Linked DNA regions of Mus musculus. The protein of the gene in region 2 interacts with the protein of the main gene of each other region in a pairwise test. Links are inferred from orthologs where the notes say so. Each region holds a gene or a part of one and is shown on either strand. Other genes may lie near its edges.

Region 1 (4,971 bases), on a different chromosome or scaffold from region 2:
GGCACACACACCCTGGTACTCGCCCTCAGCCCCATGAGGCAGAGACGGCATTGGGGTTACAGGACACTTCCTGCCTACTGCGGGGTAGCTGGGGCAGGTAAGGCTCAGCAGCCCTAATGAGGGACCTGAAGATCTCTGGGTCCTCACCCAGCAGGAAGAGAAGGGACAGCAACTGCACCTGCTGCAGCACTCTTAAGACCCTGCAAGGGCAAGGCTGCAGTTTGAGGATCACCACCACCACAGAGCTCCCGTGCTGGTAAAGAGGGACCACCCAGGCTATGCTCACTCTTCTGCTTTGGTGTTCTATGTTCAGCCGCCACTAACCAATGAGAACTGTAGGTGGAATATGGAACTTAGACTTCACTGATCTACAAGAGTGGTCACCACTCTGTTTCTCTCTCTCTCTCTCTCTCTCTCTCTCTCTCTCTCTCTCTCTCTCTCTCTCTCTCTTCCTCTCATCCCTATTCTCTTCTCCTTTTTTAGAAAGAGCTGGAGATGGGCTAGACACAGGATGGTTATATGGAAGTAGAGTGGACTGACAGCAGGCGGGGACACTTACCAGCCCTCTACAGGGAGATAAGAAAGGACAGTGAGCTTAAAAAATTCCGAAAACAGAAAGGGGAAGGCAAAGATGGAAGTGTATGGATAAAAAGAAAGGGGGGATACAGGGTTTCCCTGAGCCACCTGGGCCATCTTGAACTGGAAGCCAGGACAGTCCATTAGCAGCCGTGAGAAATAACTGACTTGTCCACAAACTTCGCTTGGGAGAGAGAACCTGCCATGTTGATTTATGTAAAAAAAAAAAAAATCTCTGTCATTTTCTTTTTCAGTTATTAATGGTCACACACTGTGTTTGAGGCTACTACTTGAAACAGCAGACAATCCGGAAGTGGTTGATGTGAAAGATGCCAAGGGACAGTAAGTGTTTTCATGTTGGCCTTCTGCTATGATCAGTCACAGGAGCAGCTTGGTTGGCTTGTTGAGTAGTGGATAGGGATGAGTGCTGAGTTCTAGGATAGCACCTCTCTGTGAAACTCATGGGTCAGGAGCCTAGAACCCCGAGGTGTGGCCCGCCACCAGAGCCTGTACTAAAGGGAAGAAAGCACTCAGTGTGCGCGTCTTATTGACAGTGAGCGCCTTTTTATCCCTGCTCTAGCCATGCTTCCCAGTCGTTAGTATTTCCTCTTTCTTCCTACCTCTGACATTTGTTTTTGTTTTTGTTTCTGTTTTTGTTTTTCAAGACAGGGTTTCTCTGTGTAGCCCTGGCTGGCCTGGCACTCACTCTGTAGACCAGGCTGGCCTCGAACTCAGAAATCTGCCTGCCTCTGCCTCCTGAGTGCTGAGATTAAAGGCATGCGTCACCACACCCGGCTCTACCTTTGACATTTAAAGCTACCTACCACTTACCCACTTTCTAATAATAGCAAAATGGCAGACCTGGAGAGTTGGTTTCTGTCCTGGAAATAATAAAGAATTCCTTCAGATTTATATCTTCTCTTGAGTTTGTTTTCAGTTTCTATCTGTTGGCCTAGTCTTCGCCCGGGCTTTTCTTACAAATAGGAAGTGCAGACAGAAAGGCTCTAGGTCTGTCCCCAGGCACAGGAGCTTGAGTGACAGCTAGAGCAGGGCCCTGGTCTTTCTTCTACACTGGCCAGACTTGGCTTCAAAGCATGGAAGCTCTGTCCATCCAGGCAGATCTTGAGCAGAGACCAACATTGATTGCTAGGACAGCAGAGGCTGTGACAGAGGCAAGAGGCTCTTCTGCGTGTGCACACGCCCCAGCCGAGCCCCAGCCGGCTGGCATGGAGTGGTCGCCACATGGCCTTTGAAAATGTTAGAAGTAATGTGACTGCCCTATATGTTAGCCAACATTCCATGTGGCTTGTTCTACATGACATGGAGTAGCGAGTTAGAAACATAGGAAATACTGGGAAATTTTTGATAGAAAGAGACCTCTTCTCTCACTGGAATTAGTTTTGTTTTTGTTTTGTTTTGTTTTGTTTTGTTTTAAATCTCCTTTTAAAATACCAATTTCTCTCTCCTAGAACCCCGCTGATGCTTGCAGTAGCATATGGACACATTGATGCTGTTTCATTGTTACTTGAAAAGGAAGCAAACGTAGATGCGGTCGACATAGTGGGATGCACGGCTTTACATAGAGGGGTATGTCCATCTTCCTCTGCTTCAGTTAGGTTACCTCCTCAATGAGCTTGCTTCAGTGTTCTCTGTGTGAAGCTTTAGGGGAAAAGATGTTTCATAATATATCCAATTAGCTTCACAGTCAAAACAAAATTACAGAATTTTATACAATGACACAAATGAAAGCTACAGTTTGGCCCTGCTCTTAGGAGTTTGTGTTGGACTGTGATACCTACTGTTGGAGGGGTTCGCTCTCCTTTCTGATTACAAAATGCAAAGTGTAGAAAATTTGCAAAGTGAATTTTTTACATACAGAAAAAGAAAATCAAAATCACCAGCAATCATACTTCCTGGAGATAATCACATTTAATACACATATGCACGAGCATGCGCAGACACACACCGTGGCCTCTCTTTTTCTTAGTATAGATAAAGGACCGTTCTCCGTGGCGTAAAATATTCTTCTGTATAATTTTGTATGCAGAATTTATAATACTCATGTGTGCAGCTGCCAGAATGAATTCAGTGGTGTTGAACATTCACACTATATCTGTTGCTTGGAGCAGCAAACGATGACAATCTATGTGTCCTGTGGCCAAGTCTTTTTACACATCTGCTGATTTAATTTTTGAAGGACAAAAAAAAATAGGCTAACTAGACAAAGGTAAAAATTATAAAATTGCTATGTAGAAGTGATGTAAGCACCCTAGCTGGTGACTAAAAGTATTTTCCATGATTATCAACATAATCACAGTTCTGGTTTCTTTGCACTTCTTTTGGGCCATGCAGCAGTCTAGGGGACATCACATATATATGTCTGTCAGTGATAGCCTGTGCATACAGCAGTGATCTCATACGGTTAGAATGGAGCTGAAGACGATTCCTTTCTTGTGTAACTTTTACTGCACCTTTGCTGTTTAGATACACAAACCCTTGTGACCCCATGATGTCCATTAGGGTAATGTGTTGTGCATGTTAGCTTAGGCTTAACAGCTCTCTTGGGCAGCCTAAGAGGGGAATAGGCTGTGCTTTCTAGCATTGTGTACAGACTCTCTGAGATATTCCCAGAATGCATCCCCGTGCCCGCTGCACAATGTAAGTGTGTTGTCTCTTTAGTACTGGGCAACCTCTGAGGTCATTGTTTCTCTGCCTTCTCATAGTGAGTATACTGAGTCAGAGAAAGGCCGACTCACTTGTGTCTGACAGGGGTGGACAACCAGGATTTAACATATTCCTCCTTGATTCTGAAGCTAGTATTTTCTAAGGTATCATGATACCATCCGTAGTTATGTTTGGAGAGAGAGCTCCAAAATACTTCTCCTGGGCTTTTCTGGTAAGGATTTTTGCTAGGGTTGTTCTGCCTCCTACCTCTTAGGCCAGGTGGGGGAAGCCTTCTACTCTCAACAATTCTATCCCCAGACAACTGAGCTTTGTCTTGCATTTTAATTGCAACATGCCAGATTATGACAGGACATGAGGAATGTGTGCAAATGCTGCTGGAACAAGAAGCATCAATCCTCTGTAAAGATTCCAGAGGGAGGACACCCTTGCACTATGCGGCTGCTCGGGGCCACGCCACATGGCTGAATGAATTGCTCCAGATTGCCCTTTCTGAAGAAGACTGCTGTCTCAAAGACAACCAGGGATACACGCCACTGCACTGGGCGTGTTACAATGGTGAGTCGAATGTCATCTGAGTCGAATGTCATCTGAGTAGAATGTCATATACTAGACTTTCTAGCCTCGCACCTCTGTGACCTCAGTGGAGGTGAGAACACTGCTGTATGCTGTGGTTACTGGTGTCTGCACCCAGACACTGGTGTCTGTCTTATGTTGTTTTAAACATCCCTCATCCCCACCCCTGTGGCTGTCATGATGCTGAGTAAGGTTTAGTTTGTTTCCCTCTTCCTGTGACACCTCATCAGAGTCGCCAATGGACTTGAGCAACTGTAATCAGAGTTTCTGATCTGCACCAGATAACCAGGAACCACATGAAGTATTAAAACAATGACGGTAAAAACAAAACAGCATACAGTATAGTTCACATACAGTAGAGTCACTCATAAACGCTAGTAGATGTGTAGTTTAGATTTTGGTATTTTTTTTTAATATCCACATTCCACATTTGCTTTGTTGTGTGTGCTACTTGGAATATTCAAATTTTTTATCTCAGTTATTTGGAACAAAAGAGAAATGTGTGCTAATTGTATGCATGTCTCATAATTTTTCCTCTGAGATTATAAATAAAAAATATGCATATTCTTTAAGTGGAATTATACCACAAGTCTCATCCCATAGTTTTCTTCCTTTTTTCTTAGTGCTCCCTTAAAATCCTACTGCAGGCTATCCTTAGATACCATATGCACAATACATAGTTTTAATAGTAATATACTGATAGCTACACACATGCACACCTGCATGCACACTCACACACATACATTCACGTGCATGCACATTCCTTAGAACTTGCTTATTCAACCCGATCCCCCTCTGATGGACTTTTAGGTTAATTTTAGGGTTTCTTTCCTACCATAAACACTGTAGCAGTGCATATTCATATTATAACATGAAAATCTCATTAAATATCCAGAAGTGAATTTTTTAAATAAAAGGCATGTTTTTAGAATTTTAAGGAATAATATTTTGTACAAAAGGTTGCCCTAATGTGATAAAAGTATTTTTGCTACAACTTTGCCAGCCCAGTGTGATTGTATTTCTTTATTTTTGGTAACTTTTTCTTGGTTAAGTTTGCATCTCATAATATAATTTATTGGCTATAGTTCCCTTTCTGAATGTGGCCTTTCACCCATGCCTGCTTTCTCATGGTGAACC
Region 2 (5,546 bases):
AACTACACTTCTTTCTTTCTTTCTTTCTTTTTTTGAAACAGAGCTTTTCTATGTAGCCCTGGCTGTCCTGGAACTTGCTCTGTAGACCAGTGGTGGCCTTCAATTCACATAAATTCCCTTGCTTCTGCCTCCTGAGTGCTAGGACTGAAGGTATACACCACTGTCTGGCCAATTACACCTCTTCAGAGTAGGGTGAGTCCATGACTTGACTCATTCACTACGAACTGACTCCATGATGGAAGTACCACTGTGGCCATAAAACTCAGCACACAGACAGCACCACCTGCCAACATGAAAACAGAGACGGGGGGGGGGGGGGGGGGGCAGGTGAGATGGCTCAGCGGGTAAGAGCACTGACTGTTCTTCCGAAGGTCCTGAGTTCAAATTCTAGCAACCACATGGTGGCTCACAACCACCCATAATGGAATCTGGCGCCCTCTTCTGGTGTGTCTGAAGACAGCTACAGTGTACTTATAATAATAAATAAATAAAATCTTAAAGAAAGAAAGAGAGAAAGAAAGAAAACAGAGACATAATCCACCAAAGTCCCCAGTTCTGGGAAAGTCTCTAGATGCATTCATCTCGCCTTTTGGCTTCTGTAGTTCTGTTGCTGTTTCTGCTAACTGGAGCATGTCGACCCAGGACGCGAATTTTGCGCTTAAAACCTCGCCCCGAGAAAGGCTTGATACTACACAGGGATCCTGAACACCCAGTGTAGTCACAGGGTGGCTAATAAAGACTTTCTCTTGGTAGATACCCCACAGCAAAGACACCGGACACACAGGTGGTACACAGATACACTTCAAGAGAAACATCTATGTAATAAAATACAAATGAAAATGTAATATTTCAGTTAACAAAAACCCAACAAAAATCCAGGTAATCAGAACAATTAACTCGGTGGTGGATGCCAGCCTAGGTTACATAAAATCTTGCCCCACCTGTCTCCTCTCTCACCCCTAACCCTCCACCCCAATGGTATAAACTGGTAATCCTAACTACTCAGAAGCTAAGGCAATGGAATTAAAAGTTCTTGGCCAGTTGGAGCATTTAAAATAAGACCCTGTTCCAAATAAAAACCAGAAAGGAAGCAAAATGGCTGGGAACATAGGTCAGTTGGGACGCCCTGGACTAGTCACGTTCAACTGTCAATCTTGCAAAACCCAGAAAGTTTCTGTTGTCCAGGCTACGGTGAGGTATGTCTACAATGCCAGGAATCAGGTGGCCAAGGACAGCGCTGGGTTCCAGGTCAGCCAGGGTTACTTACATAGATTCCCTGTTTGTTAATTCATAATGTTCAGTTTACTCCGTAGGGGAGGGGAGCGGGGGGGGGGGGATGGGAGTTGGTTCCCCATGGGGAAGACACGTAGGGACTCCGGAAGTTTTGAAAGGGTGTCAGGTTGTCGTGTGTCATGTCCCATGCTCCACTCCCGTCCCTCTTTCCAGTTTTGCTTCTTGGAACAACAGATGCCTTACAAAGGCCAGGGCATTTATACTTCTAGAACTGAGAACAAGGCCTTACAGAGTTGGCACAAGCTAACGACATTACATGGGATGCTCAAGTTTGATCAGTATACATCTGTGGTACCAAAACATCCTTTGCAAATTTGGGGACATGCTTAGAGTTACACGGTTTATCTGACACTCAAGTTTGGAGGGGGGGAGCGTACTGTTTTTTATCCAGCAACTCCTTCAAGACTTGACTTAACTGATCGGATGGTCTTCTCCCACCTGTACCATGGCGGGAAAACAACTGTACTTGCTTCCAAAGGCATACATAAAGACCCCGGGGCCCGGTGAGCCCTTATTTTATACGTTTGCTCGGGCACAGCCCGGGTGATCCTTGCAATCCCGGCCCTGAGCGGGTCAAACGCTCGCCGCCCGGGTCCTAGGTGGTCCGCACCTGCGCGCCCCGGCCAGCCTCTTCCGGGTCAGGTGACCGCGCACGCCCACGTGACCCGGCCCGAGTGCGGGCGCTGGAAGGCGGAAGTGGAGCGGAGTTAGGCGCCGCTGGTGTGGCCGCGGCAGGTAGGTGGCGCGGGGGCACTGGGGGGCTCGGCAGCGAGCGGGCGGCGCGGGGCAGCCAGGGGGCGGCGGGCGGCGCGAGGGGCCGGGGGCGGCGCGGGGCGGGCGCCGGGGGGCGGCGGCTTCCTGTGGGAGGGGCCTGGCGCGCGGTTCCGGCCTCCGAGGAGGGATGTCCCGGCTCGCGCCCGGGCGGGGTGGGCGCGGGGCCCGGCGGGAGTCGCCCGCTGGTGGCGCTTCCGGAAGGAGACCCCCAGCCCCGGGTGCCTGCGGTGCGGAGGAGCCGTGTCTGTCTGGGAAGGGGGCCCGACCTCAGCCGGGGAAGACTCATTTGCTCCCTGGAAGGGGCTGCCTGGGAGTGGGCGTCTGGCTTGTAGGGACAGGGAGAAAAAAATCTGGACGATGCGGCCTGGACCCCATTCCAAGAGTCTTTTTTCCTTCCGTCCTCTTTAAAAAGGATGGCGATCCGGGACTTTGATACCGGTTCTGTTCAGTTCTTTAAACTTCAGGAGGGATCCCTGAGTCTTGATCGTCTGACTCTGGTCACACCCACTTTGCCCTGTTTGGGTAGGGTTTCCACTTGTTGGGAACCTTGCCCATCAGATCGTCTTTCTTTGAGATGCTCCCGGATCGGGTCATCTTGGAGGCCACCAAAAAAAAAAAAAAAAAAAAAAAAAAAAAGACGTGTAGGTGCTTTGCTGTGATCATAACAAGACTTTTAACCTACACTGTTGTTGGCGACCTGGGCCGGCGTTACCTCAGCAACGCATTGACTGCTGAAGTCATGGACAGTTGAAAGTCTGCCCATACCGATTTGAGACCTCTCAAGCTTAAATTATGCAGCTTCCTTTACCATGTGACTGCTTATCTTGACCAGCTGTGACTAGGTGGGGTGACTGAGAAGTTTCTCTTGTGTTCCTTAGAACTGTGACCTAGATCGTAGTTTTTGAGGTTAAAAATACCCATCTTAAGATTCTTCATCCTCTAGGCCTAGGCCTGAAGATGGCTCCAAGTTCCAAGCCAGCCTAAATAAACAAACAGGCCACCCTCTTTTCCCTTCACTTTTGCTAAGGTTTGCAGAAGTGAAGCAAAGTTTATGAATGCAACGAAGGTCAGGGTTCAAATGGGACATTGACAGGAGCCAGAATCACAGGTCGCTAGGGGGGAAAAAGCACTTTGCATTAATATATTAGGAGTTGAAGACTTGGGGGGTATATTATAAGCATTTAAAAGTTAATTTTTGTAGCAGTCTCGAGAAGTCATTCACACTTTATAGATAACAAGCTAAGAGAATTGACTTAAAATAAAAGATGTATTTTTATTTGTGTGTATGTTCCTGTGTGTATGTGCCCACCAAGGACAGACAGAGCATTGGGTCCTTTGGAGCTAGAGATACAGGTGGTTGTGAGCCTCTGGATTTGCATGCTGGGAACTGACCTTTGGTCCCGTGGAAGAGCAGTGAGTGCTTTCGCCTGCATCTCTTTAGTCTCAGCCTGCCTGACATCCTCATTTTGTTTTTCTTCCTTGTTTACTGTCTTCCTGCTAGGACTGTAAATCATTCAAGGGCAGTGATCTTATTTTACCTGACTTCTTTGGCTACTAGCCCCAGGCCTGGTATGTTAGGAGTACTTGGTCAGTGTTTGAGAAGTAAATGAGTTTTTAAAGGTCACACTGCTCGGTGTATGTGGAGAACAAGGGGTTAGAGCATAAGTTTCCCGTCCCTTTCTCTGTTTAGTGTTACTGGTCTATGGAAAGCCAGAACCATGAGGAGAAGGCTTCAGTTGGCTTGTCAGTCTCTTAATTTTTTGTTGTTGTTGAACATTGCACCTTCCCACTTCCCTTCTTTTTGTAATTTTTTATTTTATTTTTTTCCTTTTGAGACAGGCTCTCAGTAAGTTGCCTGGGGTGGCCTCAAACTCCTGTAGCTCAGGCAGGCCTTGAACTTGTGATCCTTCTGCCTCCAACACAACAGTAGTTAGGATTTGAGGCCAATACCACCAGGTCTATCTTAGTCTTTCATTTAGTGACTACATCCCCATCTGCAAAGAACTGATACCAGATTCTCATTTATTTTTATTTTGGTTATTTATTTGAGACAAAAGTTTTACTGTGTAGACCTGGCTGGCCTAGAACTCATAAAGATCCAGCTGTTTCTACCTCCCAAGTGCTGGGATTAAAGCTGTGCGCTATTTACTATGCTCAACCTCTCTCCCTGTCCGGTCCAGCCAGTCCCCTCCCCTCCCTTCTCCCCCCTCCCCTCCCTTTCTCTCTGAGACAGGGTCTTTTAGCTTTTTGATAGAAGGTAGGTTTTAGCCCAGGCTGGCCTCAAACTGGTTATGTTGTGGAGGAACTTACGATAGATTCTCTACCTTCCAAGACCTGGGGTCGCAGGCCTTCATTCACCATTGTGCCTGGCTCAGCGTCTCGTCTCATTCATTTCCAGATCTCTGAAGGTTGCATTGCTTCATTCACAGATGAAGAACTGAGGCTTACTGAAGTCCTGATATTAGATTCTGGAACTAGTAAATAAATGCAAGAGTTGGCTCTCTCCTTCTATGGGTCCTGGGAACTGAGTTCCAGTTGTCAGGCTTGCTGGCAGTCACCTTTACCCAATGAGCCACTTTCTCTATAACCTAGGTCTGTTCTTCTTAGACCTATTACTTTTAATTCATAGAAGCGATAAAAAGTTTCTTTTTTTTTTTTTTTTTTTTTTTTAAAGTACAACTTCCATTTTATTTTTCCAGGGTAGTTTTCCTTCTGTCCTTACAAAACGGCCTCTTTACATGGGCTTTGGTGGAGGTCGAGGTGCAGCGCCAGCAGGTCTGAATCGTGGTGGGGGTGTTCGGTCCTTCCGGGCTTCGCGGGATCGATTCCTAACAACCTTGCTATGGATGGCACAGCTCACGCAATAATGCAGCTTGACATAGAGCTTGGGAAGCACGTAGGCGTCGAAGACGCTTGCTTCAGATATGTCCCTGACAGCAGCGGCTTCTACAATGTTCCGAATGACAAACTTCTTGATGGCCTTATCCTTGGGCACGCACCGGGCGCAGTTCGTGCAGCGAATGGGCTGCACATGGCCGCGGCCCTTTTTGGCACGACCGTTGTTTCTTCTTTTTTTGGTCATCTTGGAGCCAAGACTCGAAAGAGAAAAAAAGTTTCATCTTAAAATATTTTTAAAAATATGCTATTAGGTTGGGTATAAGTGCCTGTAATCCAAACACTTGGGAGGCAGAGGCAGGAGGATTACTGGGAGTTCAAATGTTCAGCTATAGCTTGGGTTATGAAAAGAGGAAGAAAGAAATGAAGGAAGGAAGGAAAGAAAGAAAGAAAAAGGGAGGAAGGAAGGAAGAAAGAGAAAGAAAGACGTAGAAAAAATAGAATAGGATAAGAGAAAAAATTATAATTGTACAGTGTAACTGATAATGCTGAGAAAACCCTGCTTGCTCTATACTTGTGTACAGTCTCATCCCATTGCAGGGTAATTTATAAACTGAAGAAGTTGGTCTTGGGAATGGAGGCTG
Region 3 (4,971 bases), on a different chromosome or scaffold from region 2:
GTGAAGCACAGGGTCGCTCTTTGATCTTGTCCTCAGAAGGGGGAGAGCTCTCCGGCTTCTCGGAGGCTGAACCAGAGTGAGAATAGGAGTTGATCCAGATGTGTTTTCTTCACCAGTCGTGTTAGTAAGAGCCCCACCTGATTTAAAATAAAATAAAAAACACAGTATTTCAACAGCTGTAGCCATCAAAATGTTGGTCAGGAAACACCTGTAGGCCCAAACCTGCCAAGGCAAGAGTACTGTAATTAATAACATTTACTTAGGCTGGTGGCCCAGTCAGTTTTTAGTTCCCAGCACCATGGCAAAGCCTCCCTCTCCAAATCACCCTGCCACACTTAAAACAAGCAAACAAGAAAAATGATAAGCCCAGGGGGCAAAAGTAAGAGACTGTGCCATAGCATCAGTTTGGTTTGTTTCCTAGGGTTGTTTAGACATCCTGATGCCGCCTCCAAGAGTAGCAAAGCTTTTCACAGTATCTGGCTCTTCAGGGAAATGCCACCTATGTGGGCAAAGGGCTATCCTGTGAACTGCCAAGCCAAGGCTAGCAGATGCACATCTGCCTAGCCCAGGGGGTGCCCACATTGGGACACTTTCAGTGGCTGCAAAATAAATCTGCAAATGACACTGGAATAGGACGAGCCCTGGCCAGGAAACGTAGCAGCAGCGTCTGGAAAGCCGAGTTTCTGATTGGAAAATTCCTCGTGGAAAAACAAATGTGCTTAAGGGAAGAGAACAATGTTTTATAATCCTTTTTAGGGTAGGTGGGGCTTGGAGCTCAGTGGCGGGGCTCACAGTCTGTCCCCTTCCAAATGTAAAGTGAATTCAAGAATGGCCCACATAGCACTGCTGAAAAGCTACCCCCATCCGACATGGCGGAAAGTCGATCCATTATTTAGTGCCAGCTGCAATTTTGTACCAGTGGACAATTCTCTAGGCCATTTAAAACCTCCCCAAAGACAGAAAGCGGGAACAACAGTGTCCTTAAATTACAAGGATAAATGTAAAATGACTCTAGCATGGACCACAGGGCTGAAAAAAAAAATCTTAATTCTAGCATTAAAACCTTTGGTTACAAATGACAATGTGAATACTCACTGGGAAACTCACGTTCGTTCGAAGGAATCCTGCTCATTTCAACAGATCAAGGAAATGGATTGGGAGCCAGGGGAATAACGAGTTAACCTGCACTCTAGCCCATGGGTTCCTGGGGATAGTCTGATCATTCATGAAAAAGTTTGAAGTAGGTCTCTTTATTTCAGTGTGTTTTTTTCTTTTTTCCTGTTAACATTTTAGATCTCACTTCTAAGCCCTAAGAGTTTGAATACCTTACCTCCAGCAAAACACTAGTCAGATCATTCTGCCATGTTCTCCTCTATTGACCTATGGCCTGGCGTAGGGAAGGTGTGTGTTACCTTGAGTTATCTGCGTGCAAACTGGCTCTGCTGGGCTCGCAGCAGTTTCTGGTCCTTCTGGCATTTGGAATGAAGACTCCTGCATCAGAAAGGAAGGGAGAAGGAGGGGTCATTGTTTTTGGTTTTTGATCCTCAGAGGACCCCCGTAAACCCCTTCAGGTTATGTTAGAGCATATACTCTGGGGAGTAGGCATACCTGCTCCTGGTCAGTCTGGCTCACTACAGCTTCGTATGGAGGTGGGGGGTCCAGAGGACAGAACACTTCCACACCCTTGATGCGTGCTCCATAGATATGGGGCAGTGGGATGACATCAGAACCAACCATCCTAGAAAAAGCACCGGGTGTCAGGAGGTGCGCTCTGTACACTGGCCCTCCTACAGCAGCAGACCCTGGACCCTCTGCCTTTGCCTTTAAATTGGGAGTGGCCTGGACCTAGAGGAAAGACACTCACAGAAGCTCAGCCAAAGAGGAATAACTATTCAAGCTATCCTTAGGCAAATACCCAGGGGGTCCTTTAGAAATGACAGTGTATAAAACGTAATGCCCTTTTTTCCTTTTAGTACAGCAGTGTCCATGGGGATGGAGAGCATGGGTGGCTGCCAGGCTCTGAGGGAGGGGCTAGGGAGGGGTTGCTTAGTGTTTATGGACTTGGCAGTTGCTTACGGGAGAGGATAATGCTTTGCAGAGAGTTAGAGGTGATGGTTGCACAATGAGGTGGATATACAAAATACCACTGAAGCATATCGCTAACAACAGCCAAGGCAACTAAGGGTAAGGAGAATCTTGGTGCCCTCCTGCAGTCGTTCACAGAAAAAGCTTCTTGCCTCGGTTTCCTTCACGTCTGATTCGTGAGAGAAATTCACTGTTGGATAACTTTTTTTAAAAGGGGAAATTAATTTCAAACAAAAGGTGAGCATTGCCCCCAGCTCCAAGACAAAACAGGAGCTAGCAGAAAGGATCATAGAGTGACTCGCACATGCTCCTCAGGTCACTCCCTGACTAATGATGCACTGGGCCAGGTGGGTGGCACTGGATAAAATTCAGAAACAAGAGTCCTAGTAAGAACAAAGAAAGAGGTGGGTTAACATTCTATTTTTCTCTGAACTTGATGTGACAAACCTGGCTGAGTTGACAAAAAAGATCTGCGTCCATTTGGAATATTGATACCTCACTCCCAACAACAAAGCTATAGCTAACCGATAGTTTCAGCAGAGAAACTTTAAAAGAGTCTCGCTATTACCAAGATGCAGAGAGGCTGACTTGACAGTTACTCTGTCATGTGACTGGGACTGAAGAACCAGCTGCTGTTTTCCTGGTTAAAGCTAACTTCTCCTGGGGCTCCTCTTCCTCCCTCAACCATTCCTGCTGATGTCAGCTATTTCTACTCTGTTCTTCACACACACCCACTTCTGTTGCTCCACCACGGGATATGTGGGGTTCCTGAGACTGTACCATCTGCCACACTCAGCAACATAAGTATATGATGTCTCTGCCTTAGCACAGAACTACTCAATTATACTCCTCCTTTCCAAATTGCCTTTCTCCCAACCAACGTTAGATGCTTTCCCTTTTCAAGTACTTCTTAAGTAATAGTTTTTGTTGTTGTTAGAGAGGGTTTGATGTCCCAGTGCTTACAGATAAGCACCAGAAAACCAGACATTTTAAACATGAAAGGTTGTCTCTTCAAAGGAACTGATGCAGAACCCGTTTTTCCCACCGAGAAGGCTAGAAATGAATTTGGTTAGTAGCCTGGATGCCTTCTGCACTATCTGTATGACCACACCTGATCCTCCTCCAAGTCCTTAAGATAACATATGTAGTCTGTCTATAAATCCCAGTTTCCAGGGCTAAAGAGATGACTCATGGGTTAAGAGCACTGCCTGTTCTTTCAGAGGTTCTGAGTTCAATTTCCAGTAATCACATGGTATCCCAGAATCATCTACAATGAAATCCAATGCCCTCTTCTACCATGTAGGCAGACACGCAGATAGAGCACTTACATGCATAGACTACATAAATAAACTTTAACAAAAGAACCCATCTTTATGGAAGAAGTGGCACATACGTTAAGAGTTTCAATGCAATTCAATCCCTTAAGCTTTATTGTATACACAGAATTATGTTACACCAGAAAACTTTTCTATATTGTGCTAAACTTAAACCAAAAAACTTAAACTAAACTTGAACCAACACTGGCTACTGAGTCATATTGAACAGGACTTCTTTTTTGGCTCATGAGGATCTACAGTCTGATGGCCATAGTGTTTCCAGAGACAACACACACACACACACACATTGTTGTTGTTGTTGTTGTTGTTGTGTTGTTGTTGTTGTTGTTTTAACTGTGGTTGTAGGACCCTTGACAGAAAAATTAAAAGGAAAACCAAACTCACAAGATTCCCTGCCAGTATTTATCGCATATAATAAAAAGAAGAAAAGACATTAGAAAACACAGAACTGAAATTTTAAAGTAATTAAAAAAGCAAAAGGTAAAACAAAACAGAGAACCCTGTGCTCAGTAGGTACTAGATGACCCATAGCAATGTCTCTTCTTTAAAAAAAAATAAAATAAAATTCTCTTCTTAGAATATGAAGAAAAGAAAAGAGGGAAGCTTACAGATAAAAAGACAGACCCAAGGCCAGATGCATCTAAGCGACTGAAGGGGAGAGGCAGAAACTGGATTTAAAACTCATCTTATTTCTTGTGCCCATTTATGCTCCCCTGAAAGGATAGAGGCGAGGTTTTATACTGGCACATGACTTTGGATGTTCCCCAGAGTGGCTGTGTAAAGTGTCAAGCATCCAGTGCACAAAGAAGTCCCATGAAAACACTCTCCCTGGTCTAGAGGGTTCCTGTCAAAGCTGCCCTAAGTAGATATTCTCCATAGAACAAGGACTCAGGCATGGATTTCGTTCCAACTCTCCTACCTAGCTCATGCTGTTTAAAAACTCCCACTGCTGAGTGACTCCAAAGGACTAGACCCTTCCTAGATTTAGTGGGAGAGTCCTGACCAATGAACATCACAGCTGTCTGAATCAGAGAGGCCAACTTTCTCCAGATATGGTGAGGCTTCAGTCTTTAATCAACACCCATGAGTCATCTTTCTAGCATTTCTAAACCCTGCCTTTGCCCCTTCAGCAAAGAAAGAGAATAGCTGAATCCCTTGCCTATTGCTAGTTCTGCTTGCCTGCCTGCTCCCTGACATTCCCAACCCATGGCTATCTTTGCACCCACAGAGGTGTGGCATTCACAATAACCCATGGCTATCTTTGCATCCACGGAGGTAAGCATCAGATTTCCAAGGATGAAAAGGTCAGGAGAGTGGGCTCTCATCTTAGATGCTAAACTACCACAAAATCTCTTCCAGAAGGAAACCCAGAAATTGAACATGGCATTTTCCATAGCATGATCACAAAATGAATGACTCCTACGATGTCATTATGTCATTATGATGACCACTGATGCTGCATTTCAATGGACAGCACCAAAGGAAAGTCCATGTAAGTTACTTCTTATCACACATCACCTAGGCATATATAAGCTTATGGAGACTGTGG

Evidence for each region. The genes of interacting proteins can lie anywhere in the genome.
Region 1: the proteins of Wwp2 (region 2) and Ankrd44 interact in binary tests that used the Homo sapiens proteins (3 or more experiments, as listed by UniProt). The two-hybrid records come from large-scale screens. The link is inferred for Mus musculus from reciprocal best matches to the Homo sapiens genes WWP2 and ANKRD44.
Region 3: the proteins of Wwp2 (region 2) and Fam189a2 interact in binary tests that used the Homo sapiens proteins (3 or more experiments, as listed by UniProt). The link is inferred for Mus musculus from reciprocal best matches to the Homo sapiens genes WWP2 and ENTREP1.

The regions. Positions count from the first base shown.
Region 1 is NC_000067.6:54,659,846-54,664,816, reverse strand, and holds part of Ankrd44 (serine/threonine-protein phosphatase 6 regulatory ankyrin repeat subunit B), read left to right. Parts: intron 1-830; coding exon 831-918; intron 919-2,045; coding exon 2,046-2,163; intron 2,164-3,599; coding exon 3,600-3,816; intron 3,817-4,971. UniProt on the Homo sapiens protein: Putative regulatory subunit of protein phosphatase 6 (PP6) that may be involved in the recognition of phosphoprotein substrates.
Region 2 is NC_000074.6:107,434,414-107,439,959, forward strand, and holds the start of Wwp2 (NEDD4-like E3 ubiquitin-protein ligase WWP2), read left to right. Parts: upstream 1-1,956; 5' UTR 1,957-2,028; intron 2,029-4,736; exon of another isoform or gene 4,737-5,172; intron 5,173-5,546. UniProt on the Homo sapiens protein: E3 ubiquitin-protein ligase which accepts ubiquitin from an E2 ubiquitin-conjugating enzyme in the form of a thioester and then directly transfers the ubiquitin to targeted substrates.
Region 3 is NC_000085.6:23,977,978-23,982,948, forward strand, and holds part of Fam189a2 (protein FAM189A2), read right to left. Parts: intron 1,739-4,971; coding exon 1,609-1,738; intron 1,492-1,608; coding exon 1,413-1,491; intron 138-1,412; coding exon 1-137. UniProt on the Homo sapiens protein: Functions as an activator of the E3 ubiquitin protein ligase ITCH in the ubiquitination of the CXCL12-activated CXCR4 receptor. Thereby, triggers CXCR4 endocytosis and desensitization, negatively regulating the CXCL12/CXCR4 signaling pathway.